Oreochromis niloticus: one gene and its partner. Each later gene encodes a partner of the first gene's protein in a complex. Links are inferred from orthologs where the notes say so. Each region holds a gene or a part of one and is shown on either strand. Other genes may lie near its edges.

The links.
Region 2: coq7 (region 1) and coq4 share a complex: the UniProt entries of both Homo sapiens proteins name them as parts of the multi-subunit COQ enzyme complex. The link is inferred for Oreochromis niloticus from reciprocal best matches to the Homo sapiens genes COQ7 and COQ4.

What each region holds. Positions count from the first base shown.
Region 1 is NC_031971.2:33,875,172-33,891,731, reverse strand, and holds coq7 (NADPH-dependent 3-demethoxyubiquinone 3-hydroxylase, mitochondrial), read left to right. Parts: upstream 1-9,140; 5' UTR 9,141-9,295; coding exon 9,296-9,380; intron 9,381-9,716; coding exon 9,717-9,898; intron 9,899-11,255; coding exon 11,256-11,370; intron 11,371-11,546; coding exon 11,547-11,686; intron 11,687-12,922; coding exon 12,923-12,991; intron 12,992-13,408; coding exon 13,409-13,486; 3' UTR 13,487-14,987; downstream 14,988-16,560. UniProt on the Homo sapiens protein: Catalyzes the hydroxylation of the 5-methoxy-2-methyl-3-(all-trans-polyprenyl)benzoquinone at the C6 position and participates in the biosynthesis of ubiquinone.
Region 2 is NC_031972.2:20,607,320-20,624,469, forward strand, and holds the start of coq4 (ubiquinone biosynthesis protein COQ4 homolog, mitochondrial), read left to right. Parts: upstream 1-10,896; 5' UTR 10,897-10,963; coding exon 10,964-11,027; intron 11,028-12,639; coding exon 12,640-12,795; intron 12,796-13,785; coding exon 13,786-13,882; intron 13,883-14,980; coding exon 14,981-15,083; intron 15,084-15,200; coding exon 15,201-15,330; intron 15,331-15,847; coding exon 15,848-15,941; intron 15,942-17,150. Other genes in the region: traf2b (TNF receptor-associated factor 2), read right to left, coding at 1,283-1,357, 1,518-1,592, 1,699-1,860, 3,792-3,890, 4,139-4,217, 5,289-5,464. UniProt on the Homo sapiens protein: Lyase that catalyzes the C1-decarboxylation of 4-hydroxy-3-methoxy-5-(all-trans-decaprenyl)benzoic acid into 2-methoxy-6-(all-trans-decaprenyl)phenol during ubiquinone biosynthesis.

The DNA of each region.
Region 1 (16,560 bases):
TAAATCTAAAATCTAATTTGTTAAAGGGTGTACTTTTGACTCCTGGGTTTGTTTATGTGCCTTCTTGAAATAGTCTTGTGTCGGGTAGCAAATGAATGTGTCTCCATTGGCTTCTTATCATAAACAGTGGTTATTATGTGACTGATTCACTCATAAATCCCTGGTTTGATGATGACTGCCTGAACATGCATATATTTTCGATTTTCCGACGGTGAAAAACACATTTAAATATTTTCTCTTATCCCTTCAGTGTATAAAAAAAAATCACAGAAGGAATACTGCCAGACAGACAAGGGCCATTTAACTTGTACCAGACGACGCTAAATACACTCTCTAGTGTCCATGAAAACAGGCGGTTTAGAGTGTGATTTAGGTCTGCATGGTGCACAAGATAGTTTTTCAAGTGTAAACAATTCAATAATAGAAGAGAAATCACTTTCCTCTGGTTGTAATTTTGTATATCTATAAAAAGGATTAGAAGGGATTTTAGGAGACTTGGTGAATTTGAATCAGAAAATGAATCTCTTTTTGTTTTATGAGACATCTTGCCTTTTCCAGAGGAATACCACCAAACCCTAAAAGGGTTGGCTTTTTAAAACAAAGTTGCATAACTTTAATTTATTTCTCAACCTACTTTTGCAACAATCTGGGATGACTAAGTGTTGTTTTCAGGGAGAATACCGTACTTTTAAAGAATTTACAATGCTAAGGACAGACCAGACTATATTTGTGACCATTAACAACTCTTCTCGAAGATCATAAATAAAACCAATGTGACATGCACAACAGTAGGCGTTAAAACCACAACTCTAAAGGCCATCTAAGGGCAGTGATTTTGCACTTTGCACTTTGACCTTTCACCTTGGTTTTTAAGGAGGTGTTGTAGAAGACTACACCTTACCTTGCAGGCTGCTTTGGAATCAACATCAACAGCTCATGTCTTGTCTTTTATGTGGACTTTGTTACACACTCAATACAATTAACAATGAAAAAAACTGACACACAATACAGTGTGTGTGAGTGAACACAATAAAAAAAGATCAAGACAAAAGCAATAAGACCAACATAAATGGTAAATGGCCTGTATTTGTATAGCGCTTTACTAGTCCCTAAGGACCCCTAAGCGCTTTACACATCCAGTCATCCACCCATTCACACACACATTCACACACTGGTGATGGCAAGCTACGTTGTAGCCACAGCCACCCTGGGGCGCACTGACAGAGGCACACTGACATAGCACCACTTACAACAATTTTGAGTTACTCTATCTATCTATCTATCTATCTATCTATCTATCTATCTATCTATCTATGAGTGGGATTACTACATTAAAAGGAAAGAAGAAAATGGAAAGTATGTAATAAATTTGTAGTAAATAAATCTAAAATATATGCAAAATATGCAAAAGCTTTTTACATGCGAAATGAAAATATCATTAAAAAAAAAACCCATCGCAAATTGTGATTTTATATTAGATTATGAAAATTCAGAATATATAATATTGAGGAAATTTGCCCAATATGTTAAGAAAAGCCACTACAGGGCTTCTAGTGTTAGGATTTTCTTTTTAAATGTCCAGTTTTAAAAAGCCTACAGCATGATCTTCTTGTACAAGTATTAGTTCCGCTCTGCATTATGCATAGAAATGAACAACTTACCTTAAACTGTATGTGCTTTCTTTCAATTTCACGTCACTGGGACTGTGTTTATTGCATTTTCATCTATTTTGATGAAACTGTTCTGTTTGAGTAGGAGGAGAAATGATGCTTTACAAACAATGTTATGCAATACGCATAACTGATGTGGAGAAGTGGAGCATTGTGTATATGCTTCTACACCACATAATGAATCCTGCATCACTGTCTAGAAACTATATTTGGACTTTCTATTTTGCATTTTCATCTATCATATTTTAAACATCCATTGCTCAGTAAGTATGAAAGACAGTGAGATTAGAGCGTTATTCACATTTTACGGTTTTAACGCCATTACCGCAAGACAAATACAGACTGTAGTGCGTGGAAGAAGGCCTCAGATGATTTCTAAATTAAAAGCTGCATGAAAGCAGTGTGTTTATTTTGAATGATATGTAGTCCTTTGTGTAGTCAGCAGATATTCAAACTTTCCAGTGATTTTTTTTTAGTGACATAAGAGTTATGCCCGTAAATAACAATGTATAACCCTGTATTACATCAGCTATGTTATGTCACTCTTGATTTCTTGGAAATTCACTTGTGTTTGTGACAGGGGATTTCTAAAAATCACCCCGCAGTTCTTCAGCTAAGACACCTGAGTTAGAAAACACAAACACTGCAGTTTTCTTTACTCGCGAGGACGGTCACAGAGCGCTCGTATTCGCAGGAGACACTCACGGACTCGCGCTCTGTCACCGTCTGCTTTCTTTATTTATACAACAGGAATTAATACATTCGTTCAGTGACATGAGCATGTGCATATGTGATTGTGTGTGTATGTGTGTGTGTGTGTGTGTGTGTGCAAGGTCAGAACTGCTTGTTCAACTTCTTACTATCGCTGTGGAAAGATTCAGATACAAATATCAGAACACGTTTCATAAAGAACAATCAGTTCTAAGCAACAAAAAGATCATCATGCAGCATTCTATCACAAGTAAACTTATGTCATTAAAAGCTTATACTGACTACTAAGTACAATTTTCCATTGACAGTTTGTATCTGTGTAATGCCAGGCTGGGCAACCAGACAAGGCATGTAGATGCAACCACCAACCTGGAAAGTTCAAACACTGGAGTTCAACTTTCTAAAGAATAAAACGGTCACAAGAAGAATTACACTGACAGTCTGCAACCGTCACTGACATACAGTACCGTTCCTCTTCTCTATCTTCTCTTTTCCTCTTATCTGGTCATGGCAGATGGCTGTATCTCCCTGACCGTGGTTCTGCAGGTGGTCTCTTGCTGTTGAAAGGCAGTTCTTCTTCTTAAGTAAGTCATAATTGTCCGATCTTTGGTGTTCTTGCTCTAATACATTAAGCACATTACCTTACACTATAAACCACCTTAAGTTACATGTTGTTTTGAACAAAAAGTAAATCTAATGAGTAAAACTGAATTAAAAGAATTAATTGATTTTAGTAAACTAATCCACACAGATCAGATACTTAGGAACATGAACTTTACAGATTACTGGATTTATCCAAAAGTACAAATGTTTTGAAATAATTCAATATGGTTTTTTTTCCAGTTTTGAGTGGAGGTAAATCACACAAATCTAAAAAAGCTACGCTTGGCTGCTCCCTTGTCACAAGAGATAACCACAACAGGTACATCAGATACCCCCAAAGGAGTTTGTGTCTCCAGCTGGAATCAAACCAGCAACCATTTATTTGTCAAACAGTTTTTAATCTGTATCTGCCTTATTTTGATTTGATATACGATGGAACCCCTTGACACATATCACATCAAATTAAGCAGCATCTTTTACAGTACACAATATCTGCCCCAACAGATAAACTTGCTCTTTAATTTAGGTGACAATTAAGGTTAGGGTTAGGTTAAGTTAATTAATGAATTCCATCTATCCATCCATCTGTCCATTTTCTTATAGTTGCCCAGTTATGGGTCACAGGGTGTCTAGCTGTGATAGGATATCACACTGGGAGCACACTAAAGCACACTAAATTGGTCATTGAGAATTGGGCAGAAGCTGTGCTTAAAATGGGCTACCAACCAGGAAAAAGCATAAGAAAGAAGGTTCAAGGTATTATACTACCTACTGAGGAGAAGGTTCATAAAGGAAAGGGAACAGTTAATGCTTAGGCTTCAGAATTTTCCTTAATTTGGCCCTTCTCTAAAAACCTTTGTCCAAATTCATCTTTTTTTAAAGGGGCATCATGTACAACATAACTTATGTAAACACAGACACTGACGCATTCTGCTGTCATATATTCTACATCTGAGTAAATAGCTAATTTGACTTTAAAGTCATGCGTACACACACACACATTTTGGGAGTCCCACCGCACGAGTGAGGGACCAAATGAGACAAGACCTATCATGTCTCCTCTTGCTGAGAGCAGACATTGTTGACTCACTGTAGTCTAGAGGCGCTTAGCCTGCGTCCAACCACAGTTATGCACCGTCTGACCAGAGCCTCAGAGCGAGGGTGTGCAGACTCACACACATCCTTGGATGCATGTACACACTACGCAAAGAGACACACATACATACAGGTGCACATAAAAGACAGTTTTACTCTTCTCCTGCTCTGTGGTTTGTTTTTCAGTCCCCTCATCGGTCACACCTGAGGATTTAAAACTTTCTATTGGTCTGTACTTTCTTTTGTGCAGCTGAAGTTTTGAACTGAAAGTTAATTAGTTCATGTATGCACTGTTATGTGAAACAAAATGTTTATGCCTTCATAATAATGTACATCTGTCAGACATTTGCTTAAAGATGATCTAAAAGCCACTTGATTTATCGTGTGATGCCTCCCACCTCTGTTACATTGCCCCAGGCAAACATTTGGCCTGGGTTTTCTAGCCCAGAAAACCAGAATACAAATATCACTTACATGCTGTAATAACAATGAAGTACAGTTTAGTTGATGTATATAGTTTTATGTATAACTTTGATTGAAACCAGTTTTATTAGGTGTGTGCAAGATGTCAGAAAAGTTAGACTACAATAATTATGGTCTTCATTGTCTGCAGCACTTTAGTACTACTCTCCACCAAAGAGCTGTTTAACAAGATGTAATAATAAGTATAATAAATTATAAGAAACAGTGTTCATAAAGGATCAGATCATTTTCATGATGTAAGAACAACGTGGCAATATGAAAAGAACCTCTTCTGTTTACCTCTCTGGCCCACAGCTATGCTGTTTTAGATTACTCTGATTGCTATGTGTAGTGTGTTGTTTTCAACTATAGCGGGCAGCTGTTTTAGTGCTGTGCATTTAGGAGCCTATAAGATAAATATAGCTTCAGAATTTGTAAGATACCAAAAAATAGAGCAAAAATGAGTTAAATGTCTGACTTGCATTGACCAGCAGGCAAGAGATGGTAACGTCTTGTTGCCATATTAATATACAACTTGTATTTTCCCTAAGAGGCCACAAAGAAAATAAACAAGCAAACTAAAACAATAGTCCATATGCAGATAGATGGTATCTACGTCCTTCTGTAGATTCAAAGAAGGTCTTTTTTGTCTTTTTTAGCTGAACTTGACCGTAGTTGACGGTGGAACTTATCAGCTGAGTGTAGCTTAGTTATTAATATGATATTGTGATATTAAAGGAAGCTAAATTTGGAGAGTGGCACAACAGTGCAGCACACCTTTACTTCACAGCTTGGGGCTGTGTGTTTGCATGTTCTCCCTGAGTTTGTGTGGGTTCACTTTGGGTACTCCTCCTTCCTCCTGCAGTCCAAAGACATGCATAGGGTTTAACTGGTGATTCTAAATTGGCGATATGTGTTAATGGGTATCACTTGGTGTTATCCCTGTGACAGACTGGCAACGTGTTCAGGGTGCCCCACCTCTCACGATATAGTAACTGGGGTAGCCTCCACTGCCCCCAAACCTTGAACTGGATAAGTGGGAGAAGGTGGATGGAAGAATTAGTTTGGGCTAACAGAAAACTATTTACTGGATAAACCCCAAAGCGCCATATACTGTCTTTTAACACAGCTGAATGCTGAACATGAGTAAATACCACCCACCTGATATAAAATGGATATATAAAATGATATAAAATGGCCACATAATTAAGCAGCAGTTTAAACCTCAATATAATTTAAACTCGTGAATTTCTATAAAAATTCACCCCTCCATAAAAGTCATAAAATTAAAAACGGTTTTATTTTCTTTACTTGGCTGTAACTTTGGGCATTTTAACATGGGTGTCTATGGTAGTTGACTTGGCTTTGGAGGCAGCTTCGAGAAGTCATTCCTAGCAGTTCTAAACCTGCTTTATTTATCAGCCCTCCCACATTATCGAGATAAAACAAGATATTAACTTGTATCCTTAGTAACCAACTCCAAAGGATCAGCACAAAATTATACTAATGCAGGACAGATTTAGGCTATAGTGTAAATTCACAAAGAAATATAGACAATTATATTTCAACTATTTAAAAAAAAGAAATGACAAAATCAACCCAGGACCTGTTTGGGTTTGTATTCCTGGGAAAGTTGCTCACTTTAATCTAGCCTCGCTCACACCTATGGCCGACACACCAGCAGAAAGGACAAAGGCAAACCACATTTACCGACGTGCAGCCACACATATGTAGCCACCCACAGTCAGACAGACAGATAGGGAAACACATAACCGGGCGTCTCACCACAAACACACACACAGACAAAACCGACACACCCCACCATTCACTATCCTGGCCTTGTTTACTCATGACCATCGCAGCTATGCAGCAGCCGACCTCATCATTCCACAGATTCCTCTGTCCCAACTATTTTATGTGCTTTGTCAAAGTAGTTCTTTTGTACTCATCAAAAGCAGGAAACATTTTACTAAATAAAAGTATGAAGTAATATCCTGAAAGGGAATAACATTGACAGGTGGTGGGTTAGGCCAAGACCAGCTATTATGATTTAAGGCGGTGACTTTCGCAATTTTATTTTTTTTTTATTTAAAATAAAATTTAAAAAAAAAAAAATGCTGGGAAGGCCTCACTGAAGTGCATATCAACAAGTTGAAACTGCCATGGAATCTGGGACCAGCTGGAGAGGACAGAGATTGCTTAAATGTCTTAATCTGTGCAACACTGCCATCTGTTGACTATCAACAACATCTCTAGTTGCTCCTGAAAACCCCTAATTTTTGTCGCTTGAATGTTTAGTCTTAAATTCTGTGTCACTTTCGGCTGCTCCCTTATATAACAAGCCTAAACAAAAGGCAAACTCGTGATTTGTTTGACGCAGAAAAAATGAGCATGTGCGACCAGAAGGTAATTTTCTCTTCTCTATTTACTTTTTTCTTTAAATACTTGTTTTCCTCCCACAGGGCAAAGATACGTAGGCCGAGTGAACTGGTTGAACTCTAAATTACGTGTTTAGTGTGGATTTGTTTGTGTTGTGATATAATCCTGCGACAGGCTAGTGACTAGTTGCCCAGGATGCTGACCCTGTGAACCTGCACAGCAATAAGCAGCTAGTGACTCAGTGGAGGATTATACAACAGATCACTTTGAGTCCTTCCTGGTCATACCGAAGCAACTTTCTTCTTGCACCAAAGAACTGCCTGCAGCTTTGTGCTGAATATTTTAGGTATAATGATTTTTAATAAAGTACTTCAAAGCTCAGTGTGTTTTCTTAATATGAGCTGGTATCTTTGTAAGCTATGCAATATTTTAATAAAAATATTCTAAACTGCTCATGCTGACTGCAAGCCTCACATTCAAAATCAACAAACCAAACCTTCAGACAAGGTAGCTTCATTGATGATCCACTGCTTCCAGACCTTTATTAAAGTCAAGAGAATTTCTGATTTCCAGTACTGACAAAAATAATTACAGAAAATTTTAATATAAATCAGTTCTCTTTAAGGTTCTCGCTATTGTTTTAATAAAATGATTGTTAAAAAGCATGCCATCCTGTGACGAACCTTTAAGGATATTTTGATCTGTGTGCAAACAAAGAGACATGTTTGGATATGCAAAAATACATGCACTATAATTTTGGACGGGGGCAGGAGGGAAAGAATTGTTTGGGAAGTGACTAAATAGTAAAAGAAATAGTGTTACATAAGGAAACACAGAGGTCTTTAGCTCATTTTGTAGTGGTTATTCTGACATGTTCTTCTCTCTGGTCTTTATTTGAAAGAAAATTAGGTTTTATTTCAGTTATAGAAACTATTTTTCAAAAGGAAATAAGGCAGATATAGATTATGATTGACAGATCAAAGGAAACCTTATTTTTAAGGTGTTCTTTGTTTCCAAAATTAAATGCATTGTAACAGTATTGCAGTGGATTGAACAAAATAAACTACACAGGGACATATTATTTTCAAACTGGCTACCTAAACAGCCCAGATACACTCTGTTAAACACACTAAACAATAGTGCAACTACATCTTATAGAACTATAGGTCAGGCTTATATGGGGAGTAAATCACAAGGGGATAAAGTACAACATGTAAAATCCTGAAATTAGCCATTCTGATGATGAAGTTTTCCTTCTTGAGGCATTAACTAGTATTTAGTACAGATAAACAGAAGTTTGAGTCTGGGCAGCACATGGTCGAGTGGTTAGCATTGTCACCACATAACATAAAGATCTTGAGTTTGAGTCCTCTGGTTAACTGGGGCCTTTCTGTGTGGAGTGGCTGTCCCTTTTCTGTCAGTTCTTCCAGAGAACTCCCTTCCTGTTACAAGGGAGTTTTTCCTTACCACTGTTGCCAAGTGCTTGCTCATAGGGGGTCATCAGATTGTTGAGGTTTCCTCTGTACTATTATAGGGTCTTTACCTTACAATATAAACTGTCTTGAGGTGGCAGTGTTACTGTGATTTGTCAATATATAAATAAAATTGAATTTAAATGAATTTTCCATGTTCTCCATGTGCCTGCATAGGTTTCCATCGGGTACTCCAGTTTTCTCTGGCAGTTCAAAGACATGCTCATTTAAGTGTTTTTCTGTCTCTATATATTTGCCCTGAGTTGGAGTGGCAATCAGCTAGGATAGGCTTAGATAGGCTGGGATGCAGGACTTTAACTTGTATTTTAAAACTGTTGTATTGCTACTTTCATTTACTGCATATTAGTATTCCATACTCTTTTAGTATAACATGCACAGCAAAAACAGCCTGAAACACCCAAGCTAGTTTCAATGCCATTTGGAAGAATTTTCAGAATTTTTATTTTTTAACCACAGCAGTCCTCTTTAGAGAGCAACAGTCATACGAAGGCTGAGGTGAGGGGACAACTCACAAGAATCACTACTCCTCAAAGATTATTGGACACATTGTAGTGAAACAATGTTATTTTATCCCGAACGTGGCTGTTCAGAAACCTCTTTTACTTCTCAGTTTATTTTACTAATTAGTTTGTGCAATACACCCAACCAATTATAGCAAAACCTATAAATTTATCTCTGTGCTTCATACATTAGAATAACCAGTAACTCGGTGGGTGGTGGTAACACATCCTAAACGCTAGTTGGCGCCCGCAATTAAATAAACGAAGAAGAAGAGCAGACGTCCGTTACGTGCAGTTACTGGCGTTCAATGTCAGTTTGATGCATGTTTTTTTTTTTACGTTTTTTTAATTACACATCTAGTTAAATCATTACCGGACTATCATGCAGACAGCCGCACTTAGAGTTTTTTGCCACTGGTCTCAGAGTAACAGCACAGCGATGATTCGTCAGTGTTTAAAATGCAGAGGTAAGCAGCGACACCTGGGAGCTACAGTGCTACATGCTAAAAACACTTATCTAACCCTCACAGTATGTAACGTCTATCAGTGCATACTAGTGTTACCCAGTGTTACACTAGACTGGGTCTACACTTGTAAACGTAATGTAGCCTAAATCAAATGTTTGATAGATTACTCGTCATTGTCAGTTTTCTCAACTCAAACTCTTGACATTTACTTAGTTTGTAAGTGAAGTAAATGCGTGACCTTCATAGTGGGCACTTAAGAGTCGTGTAATTATAAATGTTTCAGCTTCAAGGCGGTTGACTGAAGGAGCTTTACATACGTCTTTTACTTTGTTTTAGCACTAACTCTGCAGCAGAGCTCTCGCGCTTACGGTGTAATTCCGCCCCCGCGCGACAGTGAGGAGAAGGAGATGGTGCACCGGATGCTGCGCGTGGACCATGCTGGAGAATATGGAGCCAACCGCATCTACGCCGGCCAGATGGCAGTGTTGGGTAGATCGAAGACTGGGCCATTCATTCAGGTATTAACCAAATAAACTGATAATTTCATTACTTCTGTGTCACGTCAAGATTATCATTTATTAAAAAAAATAAAATAACAGGGGGGTTCAGCCCCCAGTTGTTGCTGTGGGTAAGTTTATTGAATTATTATAAATTTAAACATAACCTCAGCTTTTACAAGAATACTCAAATCTACTTTTAATTAAATGATTATGCACAGTATTCCTAGTGTCATGTTTGCCTCTTTGGACAAATGCGATCCAGTCGAACGTAACAATCCATTTAAATCTTCCTTCTTCTTCCTTCCTCTTAAATACAATATTTAAAATGAAGTAAGCCGAATGATGCAGTGAAAGATGCCCGTACTAGGGTTGATCCTCTCCATCAGCCTTTCACAGCAGCTGCAGCACCATCACGTAAAGCCAGTAAACCGTGCCCGTGATTTCTGCAGGATCTTGCAGACAGCAGTCAGATCTCACCGTTGTTTGATGTTAATTCTCAGGCACATGGTTGATAAATAGAATTTCTAGGGGTTTTCTGAGTCTCCCAACATTCTGAATCCAGTTCATTTCTCGTTTATTTAGTTAAAAAAAACTTTAATAAAACTTATTTAGCCCAGGCAGGGACATATAGACTCCCCTGCAAATTACATCCTGGTTCTACAACCTGAGAAGAATTGTCACATGATTACCAGTTAACCATATAAAAAGTCTAAATTCCCACTGACTGCCACAGATCTTTATCCTAACGAGGACATACACAAGATCTTTCCTTCACAGTCAGTTCTCTAGACATGGCATATAGAACTAGGAATGGTTAGAAATCAAGGCTAAACTAACAGAGGCCTTATTGCTCATCACTGAAAGAACTTATCTCATGTTAGCTGCTGCATTGGATAGCTGTTTCTGTGTGCAGATTGCGCTTTAGCCTCATGGTCCTGATTTATCGTTTAATATAAATGAAAGTGACATTCATATCTCCACACCTCAAAAGTTGTAGACAGCTGTACACTCCCCCCCCCCCCCCCCCCCCCCCCTTTTTTTTTTTTCATGGAATGCACTGCAAAAATGTCAGTGACAGAAGACTTTGAGTAAATCAAACATGTTCTTTGTTGTTACCAGGTTTAGGAAAAGCCTAAAGAAGTCTGTTAGCAGTGTTATAAAATTGTATATGCTTATAGAAAGATCAGACATAACAAGAAATCTAATGTATTTCTATCAACACAAACATATTACCTTTCTTGCATAACAACCAATCATGCGTACGTACTTGGTCCTCTCCATATAAATAAAGTTATAAAAATGTTAAAAGTGTTCGTATGTTTTCATCATGAGTATATGTCCATAAATGTTGACACTGTGCTTTTTTCCCCTACAGGAAATGTGGGATCAAGAAAAGAAACACCTTGAGAAATTCAATGAAATTCTTGCTGAGAACAGAGTTCGCCCCACAGCACTGTTACCTTTCTGGAATATTGCTGGGTTTGTATTAGGTCAGTACAGCACATAAAGACACAATTTTGCTGAGAAGATAAACAAATGCATCAAAGAGTAATGATTATTGAATTTCACAATGGCTCCCTGACGTGTCATTAACAAGTGTATAAACAGTAAGCAGTAGGAAATCTCTTCATTAAATGTTAACAGCATGCATCTCTCTCTTTTGAAGGGGCATCATCTGCATTACTGGGAAAAGAAGGGGCCATGGCCTGTACTGTGGCAGTGGAAGAGAGTATCACTGAACACTATAACAACCAGATAAGAACTCTGATGGAGAAGGACCCAGAGAGATACACTGAACTGTTACAAGTGAGTTTCTTATCTCTGTAGCTCTGCCCTGTGGTTGCCCTTTACTGTGCATGAAATTCATATTGTTCATTATGAGATTGTGGCAACAGCTGAGTCTAAAGAGGTGCCACATGCGATAATATTAGGCACCTGCCACTCCCAAAAAAAGGGATTAGAGTCTAGCATACCAAAATGGAAATAAATGTTGAATGTTTTTGATTATGGTGATTGTTACAAGCCACGCTAAATAATAATTAATCAGTTAAACTCAGTGTCAAGCTAGTTAATACAGCTTTGTGCCTATTCACTAATCGCCTGTTACTAACATTACTACATTTAAGTAAGAGTTATCTGACCAGCAAATAAATAAAGCCACGTTAATTTGTGTTTGACCAAACTTTGAGGAAAATTTAGTTCAATGATGTCTGTATCCCATTAATCCCAATATGAGTCTGAAATGGTCTTGTTCTTTTATAGTTAGCTTGTGCATATTTCTAATTGCATTTATTAAAAAATTACAACTGTATTTGTTGATTACGTCACTCATTTATTATTAAGTGTAATCCTAGCAGCTGGATCATTTTCTTTTTTTTTTCTTTTTTGCATGTAAGCCAGCCACAGTCAAACCTCTGGCACAGCCTCGTTCTCTTCCTGGATCACTGTTGACTTTCAGTGTTAAATCTATTTGTGGGTGGAATTTTTTCTGTGTATTTAAGCAGTTCAGTACAGTTCAGGTTTACTTGGAGAGTTTTACAGTTTTATAGGCAATTTCTCCAAGGCTATGCAGCATGATTTTTGACATTTTTGACTTCAGTGCTTTCGCCATTACACAATTACATCACTTAATGGCTACTGACATTTGTTACTGGGCACTGATGCAGGTCGAAGTTTATTTAACTTCTAATTTGGACAAGTTCCACACACCAATGCAGCTTCACAGATCATAGAACATGGAATAAAATTGGCATTTCACCAGTGGCTTTTTCATATATACTGTCAAGAGCTCAAGACTGACTCTCTGGATGTTTTCCAGATGGGGACAAAGCACTTTTCAGCACAAAGCAGATCTTATTAGATACACATTTTCTGATCGTGGTATATAAAACTTTTCATGACTGATTTATTTGCAGTTACTTTGAAAAGAAAATGGGTTTAATGTAACCAACTCAAGACCAAATAACTTGAGAATTTTGTGCAGTGAAATTTAATTAATTAATGTATTTAATTAATTTGTTTTATCATGCATATTTTTAACAGGTGATAAAGGAATTTAGAGATGATGAGATGGAACATCATGATACAGGACTGGAGCACAATGCTGAAAATGTAAGTGTATTTTATGTCTTTAAATATAATATATACACACTGCCAGTCAAAACTTTGGACACACTTTCTCATTCAATGTTTTTTTTTCTTTATTTTTATTACTTTCTACATTATAGATATATGCTGAAGACATCAAATATATGAAGCAAGATATATGGAATTATGTAGCAAAGAAAAAAATGATAAATAACTCTTGCATATCTTATTTTTTAGATTCCTTAAAATAGCCTTTGCTTTGTTGACAGCACTGATAAACTTTTATATCAATTAGAAAAATGACTTCACACAATAAATAAATATTGCTTCATTAGAGTATTTAGCTGTCTTTACAATTTTTAAGTTGTTGAAAGTACTGCTGCCTAAATGTGTGTTTTGTGTGTGTGTGTGTGTGTGTGTGTTTTTCCTCTTGTGTTTTAGGTACCTGGATACTGGCTATTAAAAAATGCAATACAGTTAGGTTGCAAAGCTGCAATATACGTTTCCCAACGTATCTAACGCTGTTCTTAAAGCAACTGAATTGTTTTGTTATTCTGACTCAATTTTGTAAATGACTTAATTTGGACTTGTGTTCTCACTCTGCATCTTTGTAAATGTAAATGAAGTACTTCAACACAATGTACCTGATCATATCTGTTAAAATAGAGACACTTGGTGTTACCTACTTTGGGTGTTGTTTACAGTACATACACAGGCTCTGGGAGGCAAACATTTCTATAATAAATGTCAGGTCTTGCTTCTGTTTTCTGAAGGCAAATTTTTACTTTTGTGTTGTGTTACTTTTGTGCTTGCTGCAGGAAGGTCAGTCTGCCTGTCTGAAAAGTGTCAGAGTGTTGATGAGAAAGTGAGAAACTGGTGAAATAAAGATACTCATGGACTTGAGATATTTCCATGTGTACATGTATCCAGTGACCCCCACATACATAACATATTTTTCATATAATTGTGCCTTAAGTTGCTTCAGTGTTTCTCGTATCGGCAAGAGCTGCAAAGACCAATATTTTAATAACTTTTAGCTGCCTTTGACCAAAAGCTAGACTCCCTAAACACACATGATAAGAACATATTAATCCAAGTACAGACACACACACACACACACACACACACACAACCACCACTACCACCACCATACCATTCAACTCCTGTTTCACATGTAATAGTTCATATATCAAGCTGAGCAATGACTTGTCATCCAGGCCTAACTGCTAAGCAGCCTCACACAGCTGTTCTGGGTACATTAGGTCACTGAGCAAGAAGGCTTGTCCAGGGGCCCCTAATATTCATCAGGTTGTGCAGCTTGAGCCAAATGTTCATTCCCCCCTGACTCAGTATCATTCTGTCCATATGTCCATTCAGTTGTGACCCAAACCTGATTTCTCCTAGTTTAGCATTTTCTGAGCATGAGCATATGATACATGCTGACTCATGGCCAGTAGTGGGGGTATTAATCATCTTGTTGGTTGAGCAGATAATAATGTTATTTAAAAAACTGAAAATCTGATATTTATTCATTGTATGTGAATTGATAAATATAAAAAAATAAAAACAACAGACAGAGTCATAGTAAAATGTTCAGTTTGATTGTGCCATCATAAGAGGTTCAGCCTGCACATGTTAGATTAGATATTGAAATATGCAGATTTCACTTTCAGCTGCTTTTTAATGGTGGGTGCCTGACTGCAGGTCAATCTTTACATTTGCTTCATGGGTTAAATAATGTTAAATAATTTGTAGTCTGCATTATCACTGTTAGGTGTTTGTGACTCACTAAATAAGCCTTACAGAAACTAAACCAGGGTGTATTCATGAATGCGCTACAGCAGTGTTTTTAACGGGGGGAGGGGAAAAAGTGTTTGTGTTATATTCCAGTGAAAACTGAATGCCAGTTTTTCTGACTACTGCTACTGGAACGCTGTCAACTCGGGTATGACGTCATTTCCAGCTCCAACGTCCGAGGTAAAAGGAAAGCACCAGTATAACTTTGTGCCTTTTTCTTTGACTCTTGGTAGTTATTTTAGTTTGGTAGTCTATGGGTGAGGGTCATATTTTGAAACCAGCCTCAAGTGGCTGCTTGAGGAACTGCAGCAAGACCTTTTAATGCATCACATTCGAGCCCTGGTTGGATGCGCTTTGTGAACCAAGCTAAGCACTTCATCCTCTCATACGAATACAGTTAAATCTGGCAAAGAATCACCAAAAAAAGCTAATTCGATGCTCCAGAAAAGAAAGGAATTGGCTCACAGTGGATGAATGCTCGCTACAGCCACTTTATACATAGGGTGAACTGTATTTATAACTAATTCTTTTTCCATTTTACCTGTACCTGCTTGCCTTTATTGACTGCATGTTATTTGATTTTCGTGACCAAGTAGTAATTACTGTGAGCAAAGCCTGGAGTATTCTCACGATCTCAGGATAAGATGGAAACGCATGACATTCACTTTCATAATCACAGGAGGTCACCCACTATAGATCAGAAACATGAGACAGTAGGCAGCTTTGCAAATCAAAGGTAGATCATCATACATTATCTTTGAACCCGATTAATAGTGCTGACAGTTTTATCGCAAGGTGTAACTGTTTAAATAAAGCAACATATGTAAAGCTCCTTTTATAGTGTAATGTTAGCTGATGAAATTACTGGTATATAAAAAGACGAGTGATGACTTAGTCACAGTTCTGGTGTTAATAACCTTTAACCTTATAGACTACATCTAAATTATCTACCATATGTAAACACAGATGGTGTGCTACATATATATATATATATATATATATATATATATATATATATATACATACATATAAGAGAGACAGAGAGAGATAACAATGTCTGCACATTCTGGTCAATTCTTCAATCATTTAAAACCATCAGGAGATCATGTGCATTGTTTAGGTTCTTTTCTCAGTATCAAAAGGAATTTGCTGAAACACAGACTCAGAAATTGGCAACAAGAATTTGAAGAGAGCAATAAAACTTTACTAAACTGGGATTGTCTTGCTACCATGAATAATTGCAGTTGTAAATCTTCAGCAGCACGAAAAATACAAATCCCTATAAGTCATAAAATCTTTCGGATACAGATTTTATTACTTCTTGGCTTTAATAGTTGGTGTTTGCCAGTAATAAGGCCTTTCTGGGGTTTATGGTAACTAATAGCAAAAAAATACTTCTCTAGAACTGAGAGCACAAGGAATTAAGTAGACAGAATTTTGCTAGTAGTTTGATACAATTTAATGAATGTCTGGCAGCTTTCAACATGTGTTCTTTCTTTTAAATTCAAATACAATCACTTTTTTTTTCAAGAGTTGATATACATATATGTATATGCTATGAAAGACTCTCTGAAGATGCTCTATTCAATATTCAGCGAGGTTACTAACCTGTTACCGATTAAACTAGTTAAATGTGAGATGTTTCACCATGTTTCATGTGTTTTTTGTTATAACTTTTTATTTAAATGTGTTGCTACATCAAATTCAAAATGCTGCATTAATATCTAAAAATAAAATCTAATTTTTTAGCATTTAATGTCGTGCCTTTGTACTATTTTTACATAAATATAGGATTT
Region 2 (17,150 bases), on another chromosome or scaffold:
AACTGTCTTTGGATCGACTGATCGCTACTCCTGTGAACTGAATGTGTGATGGGACTGATTTGTGTTCACCTCCTCCACTTATAAATAATGTGTGTGTATATATATCTATATCTATATATAGATATAGATATATATAGATACATTTATATACACATGGTAGAGGACCCAAGCTTGAAGGATAGACCGCCCGCAGGGGCGAGCTGGGAATTTTTTATATATTTTTAAACAGGTTTCACTTTTGAGTATTTACATGCAGTTTCTTTTGTTCTGTTGGCTCAATGAAAGTAAACCCAATTTAGATAAAGCTTAAAATTGCTCTAAGCATGTGTCTGGAGGCCTTTTAAGATGCCTGCTGAGTAGTGCTGATTGCTTCGAGAAGAACTGAGAAAACAGCCTTATCTAATCTTTTAGAGGGCTTCCCGGCAGCATGAGCAAACACCTCCTTAACTGCCACCATGGTTTGATTCAAAGGCTCCTAAGCTCTCATTGGTGCTTGGGTGTAATATCATATCACATCACATTTGCCAAACTGAGCTCAGCCAACTTTAAACTACTGACAAAAGCACAAAGCGCGAAATATCTCATGTGAAAGGGTCACGTGACTAACCTCAGGGAACACATTAGGAAGAAGGAGATGAGAAAATGCATTTAATAGCATTGAATCTGCTCTGCAATGAGACTAATTTATCCAATGACCCCCACCGAAATCTTTTCTGTGTGCAACATATTCTAGCTTTCACGAGATAACTCACATCTATCTGTGCTCCAAATACAAAGCAGCTGGTGGGAGATGATTAGTTTAGTGGAAACTCCCTGGCTCTTTTGGAAGTTAAACCTCTAACAGTGGTTTTAGACTTCTTTGTTAAATCTACGCTTCTGAAACCCTATAATCAGTATAACTACACATAACTACACAGCCTGCACAGGTATAAATACTGGAAACAGCATGTGCTGCTTACGTAGGCTACATCATACGCTCTACTCAGATTCACTGCATACATCAGGCACAAAGCAGGCACTCATTATATCTTATGTTGATGGAAAACAAAACAGTAAAAACACCAAACAGTGATGCTGTGACTTTAGCCAGGCCAGCTCCTTCATCTGATTCCAACTTCATAATTTACTTACAACAGCAAAAGTATAAGCCACATTACTACCTTACTGTAAGGTACTTACATTTAGACTCCTTTTTAAACCACAAATAAGCACCAAACTACTACAACGCAATGACAAAAATGAGTTTGATCACACTGAGAGGTGATTATGTAACTGCACCTACCATAGACTTGCAGCCCACTTCACTGAATGGACACGTGCTCTTTGACTTGGCGCAAGACTTCACATGATCATTGAACTGAAAGGCAGAACGAACAAAGAGAAAAGACCATTTATAAACAGTGCATCAACAGGAAAGTGGAAGTGAAGGACTCCTAGTCAAAAAGAAACTTATAAGGAGACTTTGGGGAGTACTGACCTAAAACCACTTAGATTACATTGAAGGTAACAGTGCTAACCTTTTCTCTTGGTATCTTCTTTTTTCCACAGTCCTTGCATTGCATGGGAAACTTCAGACAGATCTCATCATGGGCCTGAAATGCATCGTAAAGCAGAACGTCACTTTGTGTCCATTAATGCCAACAAAGAAGAAGAAAAACAAAGAACAGCGTATTTTAGTGTAGTCTCTCTATGTCCCACCTTTATCTCTTTGAAGTTGAAGGTCATCTTGCAGTATTTGCAGTTGAGAGTTCTTGCCTCGCATTCTCTCTCATCGTGTCTGTCCTTCTCCGTGAGAAGGATAAGGGTTTGGCAGCCCTCGCACAGTATCCGCTCGAATTCACAGCGACCTTCGTGCTGAGCCTAAAAATATTAGACATTTTTTATTCGTTATTATTATCGAACTTCCTGTTTGTTATGTGTAAAGCAGGTTTTCAGCATCGTGAAAGAGCAAACTGACAGTTGGGCCAAACCCTTCCCAATCACTGATAAATAACTGCTTTTCAGGAAGTGTTTAAATGAAGGTGTAGTGCTGTGGGTACAGGGTGTATCCTTAGCTTCTATGTGGAAAAACAGGTGGTTTTTTGTTTTGTTTTATTCTTTAAAAAAAAAAAAAATACACCTCCAACTGACAAAAAAAGTGAAAGTAAAAACACAATACACTGATCTGAGTATGAAAGAGATAAATACAGTTCTATGATTGTGCACACGATTATGATCAAGATTATTTTGATATTTAGTTGTTTTTCATTGCAACCCCCATTAAAATATGCACTTTTCTTACTTTCGAATGACATGCTACGCAAACGAAATTTAAACAAAAAGCGAGCTCCACAAACATCTGATAGAAAAAAAAAGGATGAAAATGTACCATAGAAATAGAATTATAATGAAGAGAAGTACAAAAATAAAAAAGTGGAAGTAGAATAATTAAAGAAATATATTTAAAGCTGTGTATTCGCCATTTAAAAATACCGGGAATCACACAGGCGGGGTGGAGCTTAAGGTGGGGTTAATCGACAGGGAAGTTGCCGTCTTTCAGAATGACTACCAAAGGCACGCTGCAGACCCAGAAGCAGAAGCTCAGGTATGTTAGCCTGTTTTTCGCTTTGACTGCTGACTTTCCAGACTTGCTACGCTCAAAAATCTTGAACCGGATCGCGTCAATAAACATGACTCACATTTAGAAGATTCCTAATCTCATCCCTGACCTCGCCACAACACTCCAACGCCTTGATGTGACTATTTTTTTCCCAGCTTCAGAAGGCCTCGCTATGGGTGTGTGCGGCTAGCAATTTGTAGCTTTTTCCACACAGTGACAGTGACTAAGATACCAGACCAAAAGTATTTGCGAAGTGGGTGTATCACACAGCATAATAATAGTTTGTGAAGCAACAATAAGAGGTTGGCAGGTTTTGATCTTTTGGTGCCTTCTTTTTTTTTTTTTTTAATAAGAGGAAGATTCATCTGCATGCTATTGCTTGGGATCCCATTTCCAATCCATGCAAATCCCACACATTAGCCTAGTGGTTTCATTTAAACATCATCATCTTAACATTTCCCAGGTGAAAAACACACACGCGCGCGCGCACATACATGCACACACGCACACTCACAAAATTGATGTAGATTAGGTCACACTGGTACGCTTAGTTAAAACCACAAACAGACAAGAATTGTTGTAAACATCCTTTTCACAGCGTTAGCATCATGGTGCCATCTGCTTACTACACAAACTAAGTAGCTCATCTAAAACTGATGCTTAGAGTAGAAACACAGCTGCAGACAGACACACACACACACAAGGCTCAGTCGCACACACACACTAACCAGCTTTATTTACTTCACGTGTCTTTCATAGAGTTTTACAAACTGCAGTCTGTGTTCAATGAAATCTGGGTTTCTGCTAAACTGAATGAATACAAGCAGTTTCCTTAACAGCTCTATGGTTAATGGTCAGTAACCCAGTCACGCTAAGCTCAACAGGGTTGTTCCATTCTGGTACTTTCCACTGAGCTTTTGTTGATAAATGAGGAGAGGCTGGGACTTTCCAGCTGCCTGTTAAGTTTCACTTCCTGTTTGCAGCGACGCAGCCCATAGCGTACAGAACGTGCTGTGAAAGCTGAGGTTTTTTCAGGGAACACAGTGACCCGGGAACGCAGATTATAGGTCAGATTAACCTCTCACGTAGATTAATAAATACTGACAAGGCTCTTTTTTGGTAGCGTAAACCTACACCCAGGTAAAAGGCAGCAATGCCCATGCCACAGGAGAAGACAGATTTCATACTTTACCTCATACTCTTTAATAGATCCAGTCCAGTTACAGCCCTGGTTCAAACACCTGGCTGGCAGGCTTGCTATTTCTCGGCCTGCTGCATTGTCTGGGAAAGCCTGTGAGGTGGGGGGTGGGGGGAAGGGCAAAAACAAAGAGATCAGTGAACTCATAAAGCCTTCAATGTTCCCTCAGTCTTAAAAGAAAGCAGACAAGAGTAGGATGCATTGTGTGGTTAGGGAAACCCCCGCCAGATTGCAGTCATATTTTTTCCTCTAAAGGGCAGTAACACATTGCATGCTGACTACTCCTAGCATAACAAAGATGGTGGGTTTGAAACCTAACCTGAATAAATATAAAGGCTTACCTCACTGCTGTTTAGAATGGAAATGGGTTCCTCGTATATCTCCTCTTGACGGCAGGCTTCACATGGCTTTGGGCCAGAACTACCAAACAAGACAGGTTTGTGACTTTACTGTAAAAGCAGCTGCTCGACGCCAACAGTCAGCAACAATTTCCTGCTGATCCAAAACTGGAGCAACTGCTGACCAGTGTGGATTACACCTCGAGCAGATGAACATTTAATCAATGCAAGGGCAATGAAAAGAAGCTTGTAAGCATCATATCAGTGGGACAAGAAGAAAAAAAAAGAATAAAAAAAAAATTGCTTTAGCAAGTTTGAAGGCGATTAAACAAATAACCAAAACACACACACACAAGCATAAACAAAGAGCACGTGTGTCCGTGTCACATCACATGGTGAATTTATAACGTACATGATCTGGTTATTTTGAAACAAATAAAAGCACTCAGACAAATCACATGCGAAATCCACACATTTCACAAGCACTTGTGGTACTGTTGTGTAAATGTTTGGGGAATTAACAAAGAGTCTGGCGGTTTTAAAAAAAATTAAATGGTAAAATTCCACATTTTCTGTCACATTTTGTTTAATTATACTTTCATGAAACATTAGATAACACATAACAGAAATGGACATCAACTAGAAATTAATTAATGTATCCATGTATGTATCTGTAACGAATACACATCACAAATACTCGTTACAAATACGTTGGTGTGTCACCTCTTTGTACTTGTAGTGAATATTCATTACAAATCCAGTGTTTTTCCTCATGTATTATTTTTCGTTAATATTCATTACGATTACTCTGTAATGAATTTGAATACATAAGGCACTGAAAACACTGTATTGGGTATTCATTACAAATACACCTCATGCATTAACAATTCACCAGTGTGTGCATGACTCAGAAAGGAAGTTTTAGAAAGAAGACCTTTAGAATGAATCAGCAACACCACATCCTTGTGATTCACAGACATCAGTATTACAGGTCCATCATGTGGGGCATGAGTCTGCATTAATAACTGATCTTGTCTGGACAAAACTCCCAGAGTTGAGGAAAGATGAGGAAAGGATGTGCTGAAGCATCTCCAGTAAGATAGGAAACATTAGGTGCGGGGTAAGCAGTTTGGTCTAAGGACCTCCAGTCTACCTGGTGAGCTGCTTGAAGCAGTGTACACAGAAGCGGTGGCCGCACTGAGCCTGGACAGGTTTCCTGAGGACCTGGAGACATTGCTGACATTTATATTTATTTTCCATGGGCACTGACAGGACACTGAGGGGAATCCCTGGTAAAGAGTTGGGACAGTCCAAAGAAATACGGGCCATTCTTCTCCATCAATCTGCTGCTATATCCTGTTAATGAGAACACAGAGAAACAGCTGTCAACTAACTAAACAGGAACTAACTGCACAGATGGAATCTAAACTACCCAGAAACTCAAACTAGCAGCGAATTATCTACTGGCAAGCTTAACTATTTAAAAGATCACCATGAGAATCTGTATGACCCTCGAGGAAATATTTGTCCATGCTACTGTGTAAGTCTTGGCACAGCCAGCAATGCCACACAAAAAAAGAAAAGCATGGTAATAATATTCAAAAATATGGAAAACCCTGCTTAATACTGCAACGGCTGCGACAAGATCAGCAAGTCAAATGACCTGAAGACATAGGTACTTTTTCTTTTTGAGTTACCAGAAAAAGTCTTGTGAATGGTGGGATAAACATAACTGTGGGAGAAGCAGCATCAGGATATACAACCTAATCTATTTAAACACGTATCTAAACCAGTTTGAAAAAAAAAATCCCCTGCAAATTTTCTTTGTATGTCCAGCTTACAAATAGCTGAGTAACTTTGAAATGTAGAACTTGTTTTTGTTGTACAGCATTTCCAGATAATAATCAGATAAGCATCTTTCTACTGAGAAATACCAGCAAAATAGTTCTCACTTTCTGATGCTTGAGTAAATACGGTGTGAAATGCAAACGCAGCATTTACACGAGCTTTGCTGTTATCTTTAGTACTTCACAGAAAAAATGATGATGCCAGGCAAAAGACAGCATAGCTTTTCTTCCCATGTGTATTTTGAGTCTTTCCTTTAAATACTTTTCCTGCAATGTTGTCAACATTTCTCACCCTCCACAAATAGTTTCTGTTACCTTTGTTTCAGTTTCAAGCTCGCTTTAAAGTGTTAACACTAAAAGATCACTTAAGTCACGGTTTCTTACAGGAATGATACTTATAGGGGTGCTGGCCACAGCTCCACCATGTGCTCAACTTGAGGAAGTTTAACTAAGTAATAGCGGGTACTGAAGGTTTGCGCAGTGATACACAGTGGCGTAAATTAAAGGACGAGAAAGACAGACCATTTTTAAAATCGTTTTAACATTAGCTACTTAAGTCAAATTTACCATTAACCAGGTTTGTGCTCATATCATCCTGTATGTTCTTTAAAGTTTAATGCATACAGAGTGGTGTGTAGTTATAATATTTATACGACCCCTTTGTTAAAATGCTAGGATGCTGTATAAAATGTAAAAAAATTTGCAAATCAGTTCATCTGTATATTGATGAAAATGGCACAAAGAAAATATATCAAATACTGAAATTGAGATTTTAAATGAATTGATGTCTCCAACATGTACAAAGGGAAGAGCAAAGGTTTACATTACTTCTTATTAATTTATAAGCATTCAGGGATCGAAAAGAATCACTGAGTCGTTTTCTCACGCACTTATTATTTTGGTTTTACGATGCAGAAAATGTTTGTTATGTGTTGCATCCCACTGCTCTTTGCAGAATGTGGCTCAACTTGTGTGGAGAAAAAGCTGTTTGGATAGCAGCATGTGTCACTCCAAAATCTACATGTCATTCAGCATTAATGGTGACTTCGCTGGTGTGCACATCACTCAAGCCACGATCACTAATACAAACGACTACACGTATAAGCTAGATGGTACCGTTTTTGTCTTTTAACCTACAGGAGGCTCCATCCATAAATCCATCTATCCATTTCTGAACTGGGCAGTTTTCCACTTTGATGTTTCTGTATCTTGTTTCTATGTTAAACTTTCTAAAAAATAAAGTAATTATGCATAATTTGCAATTTGTGACAGCAGCAACAACAAACTGGATTCATCATTTGTTTCTGCAAGTATTTCTGAGACCGTGCAGCAATTTCCTGAGCTCCCCTGGACTGTTTTCATTTTTTAAAAGCAGATAATGAAATTCACAAATTCTTTTGAAGTTATGCTTAAATTTTCCCAAGGAGTCTCTCTCAGAGTTCTCAGTTCCTCTGCATCTTTACTTCTAAAAGACTAAGACCCAATTACACTGCTGCCTGTTTTCCAATTACCCCAATCAGATGTTTGATGCTTCACCAGATTACACAATTTGTGTCTTGACTTTTTCAAACCATGTTGCTGGCATCAAATTCACAATCAGCTCAACTTTAAAACAAAACTAAATTCTGATGTTCAACATGTAATATCTTTGCATTTTAAAATATAATGTCCAGCAACAATTTCTTTCCAAATAGGAAATGTACTCTAAATGTACTCAATATCTGGGCTTTACATGAATTCAATTTTTAAATCCATTAACTTAAAGCCCCTTTTTGAATATATATTCTACAAGTTATATTATTTTATACCTGGTTAAGTTAAGGCACCAAATTTAGGAAACTCTCATGGTCTTTGGTTAAATTACCTCCTTTAACTGTGTTCAGTATGTCTTAGAAATTATCAAGAGTTTTACTCTGGCAATCAGAAGATGGTAAACATATTTTTTACATTTACACTTAAACAATATCTTCCCTCACTAATTCTAACTGTTTAAAATCATTCTCCCAGTAAAGTACTTTATGGTAGGAAATCATTTCAGACTGAAATATGTGAAGAAAAAAGTGAATAAAGAAAATGCCCAACTGGCAGAAAACTCACCCCACCTGGTTCATAGACACCAGACTATTATGCACTGTCTGCTTCCTAATCACTTATCACTGCCAGTAATCATCTGGCACAGTTCACGTCACGGTTCCTACAATTGTCTACCTCAGACTAAAAGTATAGCATGTAGTGCCAGTTATTTCACCCACTGCATAAAGAACAGCACCAGGGCTTCTTTTGTCCTTGCAAATATCCCTTCTGTCACAGATTTTTGTAAATGTTTATTCTGTTGGTATTATGCAATTTATATATATGTATATATAAAAAATTCCCTTATGAAAAAAATGTGTGGGGAATGTTTAGTGTTTGTTTTTCCCATAACCAGCAGATGACAACTCTTACTGATATATTTCCACACACCCACTGCATGTGTAAGTGGGTTTTACAGGTGTATAAATTATATATAATACATGCCTGCATGTCAAAGAAAACTGCAAAGAATGTGGACAAAGTGCACCTTTGCATGTCACAACTTGAAAATATGGTTGTTTAAGGTTGTGGTGTTTGTAGGGTTAAGGTAACACATTATGTTGTCAGTCTGGTAAAACTGTGTGCAAAAGGCACCCGGCTTAACAGTGCTGTCTCACCATTCAACCATTTATGTTCTTATGTCAAAGCAGGTCTTAAATTGAACAGAACAACACCCATAAAGTAAATGTTAATGTTTAACTAAATGTGAATGATGTATGCAATTCCAACAAAACAGCTCAGCTTTTCCCCCACAAAGAAATAAAGTGGTAAATTCCAAATTGTGTCTACAAAACAGCACAAGTCCTGATGGTCACGAGTTTTCAATGAACTTTCTGCTGACATGGTCTCCAAGCAGAACATATCTGAATCATGTTTTCAGTGGATTTTTCCTTAGACCAATTTAGATCCTTTTCAAACAAAGCGACTAACTTTCATGGGGGGAAGTAAGACCACACAGAAAGTGGATGTTGAATCAAAAGATATATGCGAGGAAAGCCCCTGTTTTAATTTCGGTGGGAGTATTAACAGTGAAACTGGAAATAGTTAACAATCCAACTCCAATACATCACTCAATAAATAAATAAATAAACATAATATAAGTAAATCCAAGTACACATAGCTCAAAAAAAATTAAGAAGCTTTGTGTCCTTCCTACAAACTCGTCTACAAGAATTTAAGTTAGAAACTTTTATGATTTTTTACTTCATTCAGTTAGATGAATCACACTACAGCCAAGGTGAGCTTACTGTCTAAAGATCCAGCTTTTAGAGTGGAACATTTCATTTCATTTTTATTTGAACTGTGCTTCACACAGATTTAACCTCTAAACTGTTACTTAAATCTTAGAAATTTCTAACAAAATGAAATTCTTTGGCATAAATCTAGATTCCTAAACGTTTATTTTTAGAGTTTTACTTATCTCACCCTGAATTAGAACACATACAAATATATGATTTGAATACACTGTTAATAATTTCATATTAAGGCAGGAAATGCTGCTTTTCTTTGGAAGCTCTTTCCTCCTATGTGTATTTATTTGAAAGCAATTCATTTCTGCCACTCACCCCTTTCACATTAAACCATGAGTAACTTGTCTGTTACTGGTATTGCGTAAGAAGTTCAAGCCTAACTTCATTCTTACAAAACTTAACTGAAAGGATAAGGAAACCTGCTGTGAGCGAAAAGGCATGTAAGCTCGTGTTTAGATGTGTCCATAGAAACTTCTGTCAAAGGTTGTAATTACAACATCCATTCAGAGCAATCACTGGATCGCGTGGAAACTAGTCATCTTTGTCAGAGAAATAGACAATGAAACACTGTGCATTGAAATAACAGAAAAAAGAAGTGAAGTTATATAAAGGTAACACACACGAGGCCTACGTACAGCTAAACCTTGCAAAGTGACCTTTGTCATGTACAGCAGCACAAACTTTTCTGTGAAACGAACAACACAACCAGCAACAACGAAATAAAGCAACAAAAAAAGAGTACAAAATTTCAGTCTCAACATTTCAACTTCTGTCTCAGACAAATAACCACAGCTGCTCTTTAAAGCTACACCCAGCGTTGCTCAAAGCCTAAAAAACATCCTCTTCCTGGGGAGACTCGTCCTCTGAGCTCGCCATGTTATTGCCCTGCGTGTTCACGATGAACTTACTGCAAGTTCAGTGTGAAAATGCAGGGTGCCTCAGACCCTTTCTCATACAAAAGCCAAAACCTGAATGTTTACTCACCGAGTTCGCAAAGACTGTCAGCGGATCTTACAGTCGTCACCACCACTGACACAGTATTTCACCTCGTAACTTAGCTACACCCTTAACCACGTAAGCACTGGAAGCTATATAAAAACAGCAGAGAGTAGCAGAGAGCTTCCAGAGAGCTTAGCCACTGTAATGTGGGCTGTTTTGCATCTATTTTACTGGATTAGCTCCTGTAATCATTTTAAGTATTATTTTAGAGTTTGGGCTAGTGCTTTTTTTTAAAGCAACCGTAGACTTTGGCACGTAAAATACACTTTAATTATTTTAATGAGCACCTGCGAAACTTCAAACAGCTAAAATTAAAGTGTGTTTGGTGTTAGGACTTGTACATTCAACTACTCAGATAGCTAACTGCTAGTGAGTTATAGGAAGGGATTCACAGCATGCAAACTGACTAACCTTGGCGTCTGGCCTGTGTTTCTCAACGAGGGGAAAACGCAACTCAACTAAGAGAAGGAGAACTCGCCCTTTATCATAATTTACGGGTGTGTCACTAAGCGCACTTGGTTTTAAGCTGCTGCTAGCGAGGGCGCAGTAACGGCTGGGTTTTTATATGGAAGCCCAAAGGCACCCCTCTCAACGTAGTTTGGGCTGCTCCGAAACACAAAAAAAGTGCTACACTCACGCATGCGTACTACCGCAAAAGAATGTGGCTGCTGATACCCTTCCGATGGATCAACCGGCGGCGACACTGCTTTACAGTTTCTAAAGGTACGAGTTTAAGCAGGTGTCCTCTGTGTTACAGCTTAGTGTTCTTAAAAATAAACCTGGTGGTAAGTTGGTGAAGAAGTAGTGTGGGAGCCTCGCTGTCAGCATGCACCAGGCACAGGGCTACGCGTTACTTAGCAGTATGTTAAGCAACTGTTAGCTTAACATCAGGGAAATGTTAATCATTGTTTACTGAATCACTCTTTAGAAAAAAGCAGGCGTTGTAGCAGGCGAACAACACATATACCTGAAAGTAACTCACCCTACATTGGAATGATCTTTTGACACGTCATCAAACGGTGCTGAATGTCAGTGATTTATAATTCATATAAATGAAAGTGTTCTCCATCTTTGTGTCCCATGTGTTTCTGGTGCCATCTATTCTCATGGAGCTCATGCAGATCAGATGTACGGACACAAAATGTGACGTAAATTAAGCACACGTTTCTGCCAAAACACATACACAAGACAGGACTGTGGCTTCCTTCTTCAGAAGGAGCCAACATTGTTGTCATTATTGTTTTGTGTTTTAGTTTTTGATTTTATCACTTACTTTAATCAGTTTTTCACTTTGAGTTCAGGTAGGTTTTATTGCTTGAAAATACTTAATTTTACTGGTTTCAGTGTTACTTTTAGTCCCTATAATCTTTGTTCCATTGAGGCCATACATTAGAGGAAAGATTTAGGAAAATCAGTGCAGGTATTACAATAAAAACTCATCTGATGGCTGAAACACAACCCTCCATCATATCATATGTGGTTGGAGTTAGAATTTGGGAACTCTATCTAATGGAACATTAGAAATGGAACAAAGACTTGTTTATGAGGAGACGGAGACTTATTTTTACATTATTTGAACAATGAAGGGAGAGAAACACATAGTGGGAAATATTAATTTAATTATGGTTGTGTTTTTTTCCTTTGCTCCATCTATCTATTTATCTTTTTCATTTTTAGATTTATTTACATTTAAGCATCATCATATCATCATTATTATTATTAGTAGTATTATTATTGTTATTATAAAAAAGTAATTATGTGAATGCTATATTCTGCCACCATAACTGTAAATGTGACAACTGTAATATAACAACGAATGACTAATTGTTTAAGTGTTAATAAAAATTAAGTAAAAAAAAAAACATCTTTTGAAAGCAGTTGATTCACATTGTTCAAGACATCTAAAGTCTCAATACACATATCCATCAATGCCTCATCAGCCAAGCTATTATAAAATATTTACCATACTAACAGATAGTAACTGAGGATATTTCCTCTGTATTTTTTAATGTAATTTTAGTCAGTTTTCCAGGTTCAAAAAAGTCATTTCATTTAGTTTTAATCTGTTTCAAAAGTCTAGTTTTTATTTTCATTTTACTTAATTAAAACTTTTTTTCTTTTTTCCCCTGTCATCTAGTTTTAGTTAACTCTAATAACTTTGATGTGCAGTGCAGTCTGTTACTACAAATAAATGCTCTGAATGGTTTATCCTGCCATAAAGGTTTTGGTATTTAGACACTCCACTATCAATAATCTGTTCAGTTATTTTTTGTTATAACAGCAATAGTCTGTATAGAATAGTCCAGTGTTTAATGCCACTCCATCTTTTCCTTAGTAGTTTGCGTTCAGCAGCTGCACAGCAGCAGCACTGAGTTTACAAACATCCACTACGATGGACTGTACCCTGGACATATTCCCACCACCGCCGTTCAAAAAGCTCTCTTGTCCATTGGGTCAGGTGTGGCGGCACTGCAGAACCCCTACAGACATGGTGAGACGCTCATATAAGCATTTCTGCGTGCACTGGTTTTCTTTCTGTGTGTTAGACTATAAATCGGTTAAGATGAGGATATTTAATCAAAGTGCTGTTTACAAGGTCACGGATAAACCTTAAAGCACAGCTGTTTTTGGACTGAGTGGCGTTGGAGTTAACGGTATAAAATTTAGTGCCAACATTTACATTTGAACTTTTTTGCCTTCGTGTCTGAATCACAGTGATCGGAGCCTAACCTTAATTTACATGTATTTTTTTGAGGCAGTGTTTTCACTGTACATAATGTCTTCTTGGTCTCCAAAGAAAGAACAAAATAGCACAAAAATATGTAAGAATAAAAAAAAGCAAAGTGTATTTTTGGCTTCTTGGTAAAACTGATCTCAGCCAGTATCCAACTGATAGGGATGTGAACAAGTCTGTGACCTTGATGTGGCTCCAGATTGGGATTGTTTTCCATTTTTCAGAAATGATACCACTGATTAGATTCTTTTCCCATGTACTGATTAAGCGTTTTGTATTCATTCTCAAGGGCTTATTCTCTGGAGACCTTTAGTACGTGACTTAAAATGTCTTGGAAACAAAAATGAGACTAAATACAAATTACAGCCACATATTAGTTACCCTGAAACCTAAATGAAGGAACAGAGTCTTAACACCTGTCAGCTGACATTTAGTGAGGTTTCTCATGACATTCACTGCTTAGTATCGATTCATGTCCAAAAATAAATTGATAAATAAATGGATTTTTTTTAAAATGCATTTTTCACAGGCACAGAGGTCTTTCCCAGCTCCGTCTTTAAAGCAGACTGATTAAAAGTTTGTGAAGTTTCTGAGTATTGTTTCCATGATGAGTAAACAGTAGTGACCTGTTTAGAATAAACACATGGTTTCTTTACTGTAAATAAAAATATCGTCAACATTTCACTGTACTGTCATGATGTTGCACTCGGTGCCCTTGGATTTCATGAAACTCTGGGTACTTTACAGACATGGTTGCAGTCCTCGGGGAGACAACGGGACACCTAGCGCTCATAAAGCTCAGGGACAGGATGAGAAATGACCCTGAAGGCTACGCTGTCCTAACGTGAGTCAGTGTGGCAGAACGTCAGAGTGCTTTCTGCTTCAGGCACATTTAAAAAAAATGTGAATGAATTTGGATCTTCGAAGGATGCTGTTTAAAATGTTAAAAAAAACAGAATACAGTGATGTGCAAATCTGATAAACCTGTAGTTTATTCACAATAGAACATAGAAAACAAATTAAATGTTTAAACAGAGAAAATGTATCATTTTTGTAATTTGATGGCAGGAACATGACTGGGAATAAAAAGAGCATCTTTGAGAGGCAGCATTCCTCAGAAGTAAAGATTGTCAGAGGTTCACCAGTCTGCAGAAAACTGCATCTACAAGTCATTGAACAGTTTCAGAGTTAATGTTCCTCAGTGTAAAATTGTGAAGACTTTGAGTTGCTCATCATCAACAGTTTAGTCGGAGAATCTGGAGAAATCTCTGTGCGCATAGGCAAGGCCAAAATTGGTACTAGATGTCTGTTATCTTTGGACTGTCAGGCGGCGCTGCAACACTTCCAGAAATCATTTTGAACACAGTTCACCATGCCATCCACAAATCCAGGTTAAAGCTCTATTGTGCAAAGAAGAGCCCAGATGTAGATCTGAACCAGGAACCCTGCTGTCCTCTCTAATCTATCCATTTAAAGTGGATTGAGGCAAAGACAAAAACAGTTCTGTAGTCAGAAAAAATCCAAATTTAGAATTTTTGGAGCGAAAACATGGACGCTGCAAGACTAAAGAGGAGAGTGACTATTCAATTTGTTATCGGTGCCTGCATCTCTCTCTAATGGTATGGGAGTGCAACAGTGCACATCTGGAAAGGTAACATCAGGCAACTGAAAGGTATATAGAGATTTTAGAGCAACATATGCTCCCATCCAGATGATATCTTTTTCAGGGAAGGCCTGAAAGCAAGACGATGCTAAAGTGAAAATATGACAAAGAAGACCCAGGACTGCTGAGCAGCTGGAATCCAAAAGTCCAGCAGCTGGTCTCAGCTTTTCTATATGGTTAAGCTTGCATTGCATTGTGTTTTTATTTATATTTTACACAGCATCCCAGCTTTTTTGGAATTAGTGTTGCGCTTTATTATTATTTGATTTGATCTTGCAGAGAAAGGCCGAGGATCCGGCTGTCTACGCTCGATCTGACAAAGATGGCTTCGCTGCCTGACGGCTCCTTTGGGAGGGAATACCTCAGATTTCTGGAGGACAATGTGAGTATTTGCTGATGTGATGTGCATATGTACATGTTTTTTTGTGCATTTGTAAACACTTATTGTTTGATATAAACATGCTTCCTTCCTTCTTCCGTTTTTGAATTTTTCCCTCAGGATGTGACTCCTGACTCAAGAGCAGACGTGAAGTTTGTGGACAACGAGGAGCTAGCTTATGTCATGCAAAGATACAGAGAGGTCCACGACTTACTGCACACCTTACTGGGCATGCCCACTAACATGCTGGGTGAGTCGAGTTCTGTGTAATCTGAAAATGCTATTTTCTGACATTTACTTTCATCTGCAAAGTAAAAGTTCATTTATAGAAACTTCACAGCCAAGCCATGCATTGTTTTTATATAGTGCATACCTAATTATATGTCAGTGAGAGTTATTCTGTGCGTGTCTGAACAAATGTTTCCAGTTTTACAGCAAAACTGGATTTGAGATTTGAACTTCATTGTTTCTCTCCCAAGTTTTCTCATCCAGTTGTCTCTGCAAACCTACAAATCTCTAAACCTACATTTTAAGTCCATTTGATATGAAGTGTTGACCTGAGCTTTCAGTTTTGCAGGCATCTCCTATTTGACCGATTCTATATCAGAATAAACCTGCCAAAAACTCTGAGAAGAGAAATAGGGTTTACACAGAAGTTATTTTTAATACACTTAAAAAAAACTGTTGGCTGACAACTTCTCCTTTTCTTTCTCCTAATTTAATCTTTAATTTGCATGTTTGTGTCCTTTTCTGTGTCTTCCGTTCAGGTGAAGTCGCTGTGAAATGGTTTGAAGCTGCTCAGACTGGGCTTCCCATGTGTGCTCTTGGAGCTGTGCTGGGGCCACTACGGCTAAATGCAAGGTATAGTTGGGATAACAGGAGAGTTACAGTTTGACTGACTTGCTGAAATTTCTGTAAGTGTTGGGTTGAGTCTGATTACAGGCTGCCGTCTGTTTCAAAAAGCAGGAATAATGTTGAGTTTAGAGCTAAACTCCTTATATGATAAACTCTGAATACATTAACCTCGTGTTAAGTTTGTTTGCAGGTTATGAAAAAATGTGACATCATCAGTGGAGCTCTGATACCAGGATTCTCCATTTTAATACAGTATTTCAATTCAATTCAGTTTCATTTATATAGCGCCAAATCACAACAACAGTGACCTCAGTGTGCTTTATATTGTAAGGTAAAGACCCTACAATAATACAGAGAAAAAAACAACAAGACTTCCCACCAATGACCAACAGGGCGAAAGAAAAACTCCCTTTTAACAGAAGGAAACCTCCAGCAGAACCAGGCATCTGCTGCTTTCAGTTGGGAATGACACACTGAAGAAAACCAGAGATTAATAATAACTAATGATACAATTATAAAGGTGCGCTCTACATCCATTACTATTTAATCACAAATCGGTCACATTAAAGGCTAAAAAATGTATATTTAACTGGAAGTTCAACATGAACATCGATGCGCTCTGTTGCATGCTTTGATATTAAAGGAAATTAAATCAGAGCTGCCTCAGCAAGAGGGGAAGAGTCAGAGAGAAACTCAGGGCTCAGTGAAAAACCCCGCCAGAGCATCTGTTACCTTGGTAACTAAGGCTACGTTCACACTGCAGGCGAAAGCGCATCAAATCCGATTTTTTTGACCCTATGCGACCCATATCCGATCATGGTATGACAGTGTGAACGACACAAATCTGATATTTTCAAATCCGATCTGGGTCACTTTCGTATGAGGTACTGAATCCGATACATAGCCGATGTTTTAGAAAGCGACTGCTGTTTGAACGGTCATGTCGCATTAAATCCGTTTTTTACGTCACTGACACAAAACAGACACCAATTATCAGCGCCGGAGAAGCGCCCGAGAGGACATCGCGAACGCTTCCTGGCCATCCAGTGTAGATGTTAGTGAAACTGTTGGGAACACAACGTGAACATTTTATTTGTACTGTATAATCTGCAGATTCTGACAGAAATCTGCAACTATCCTTTGAAACACCGCTCCTCTAAAACTGCAATAAGGATAATTATTAGGTTATTTACATTATTATGTAAATAACAAAAT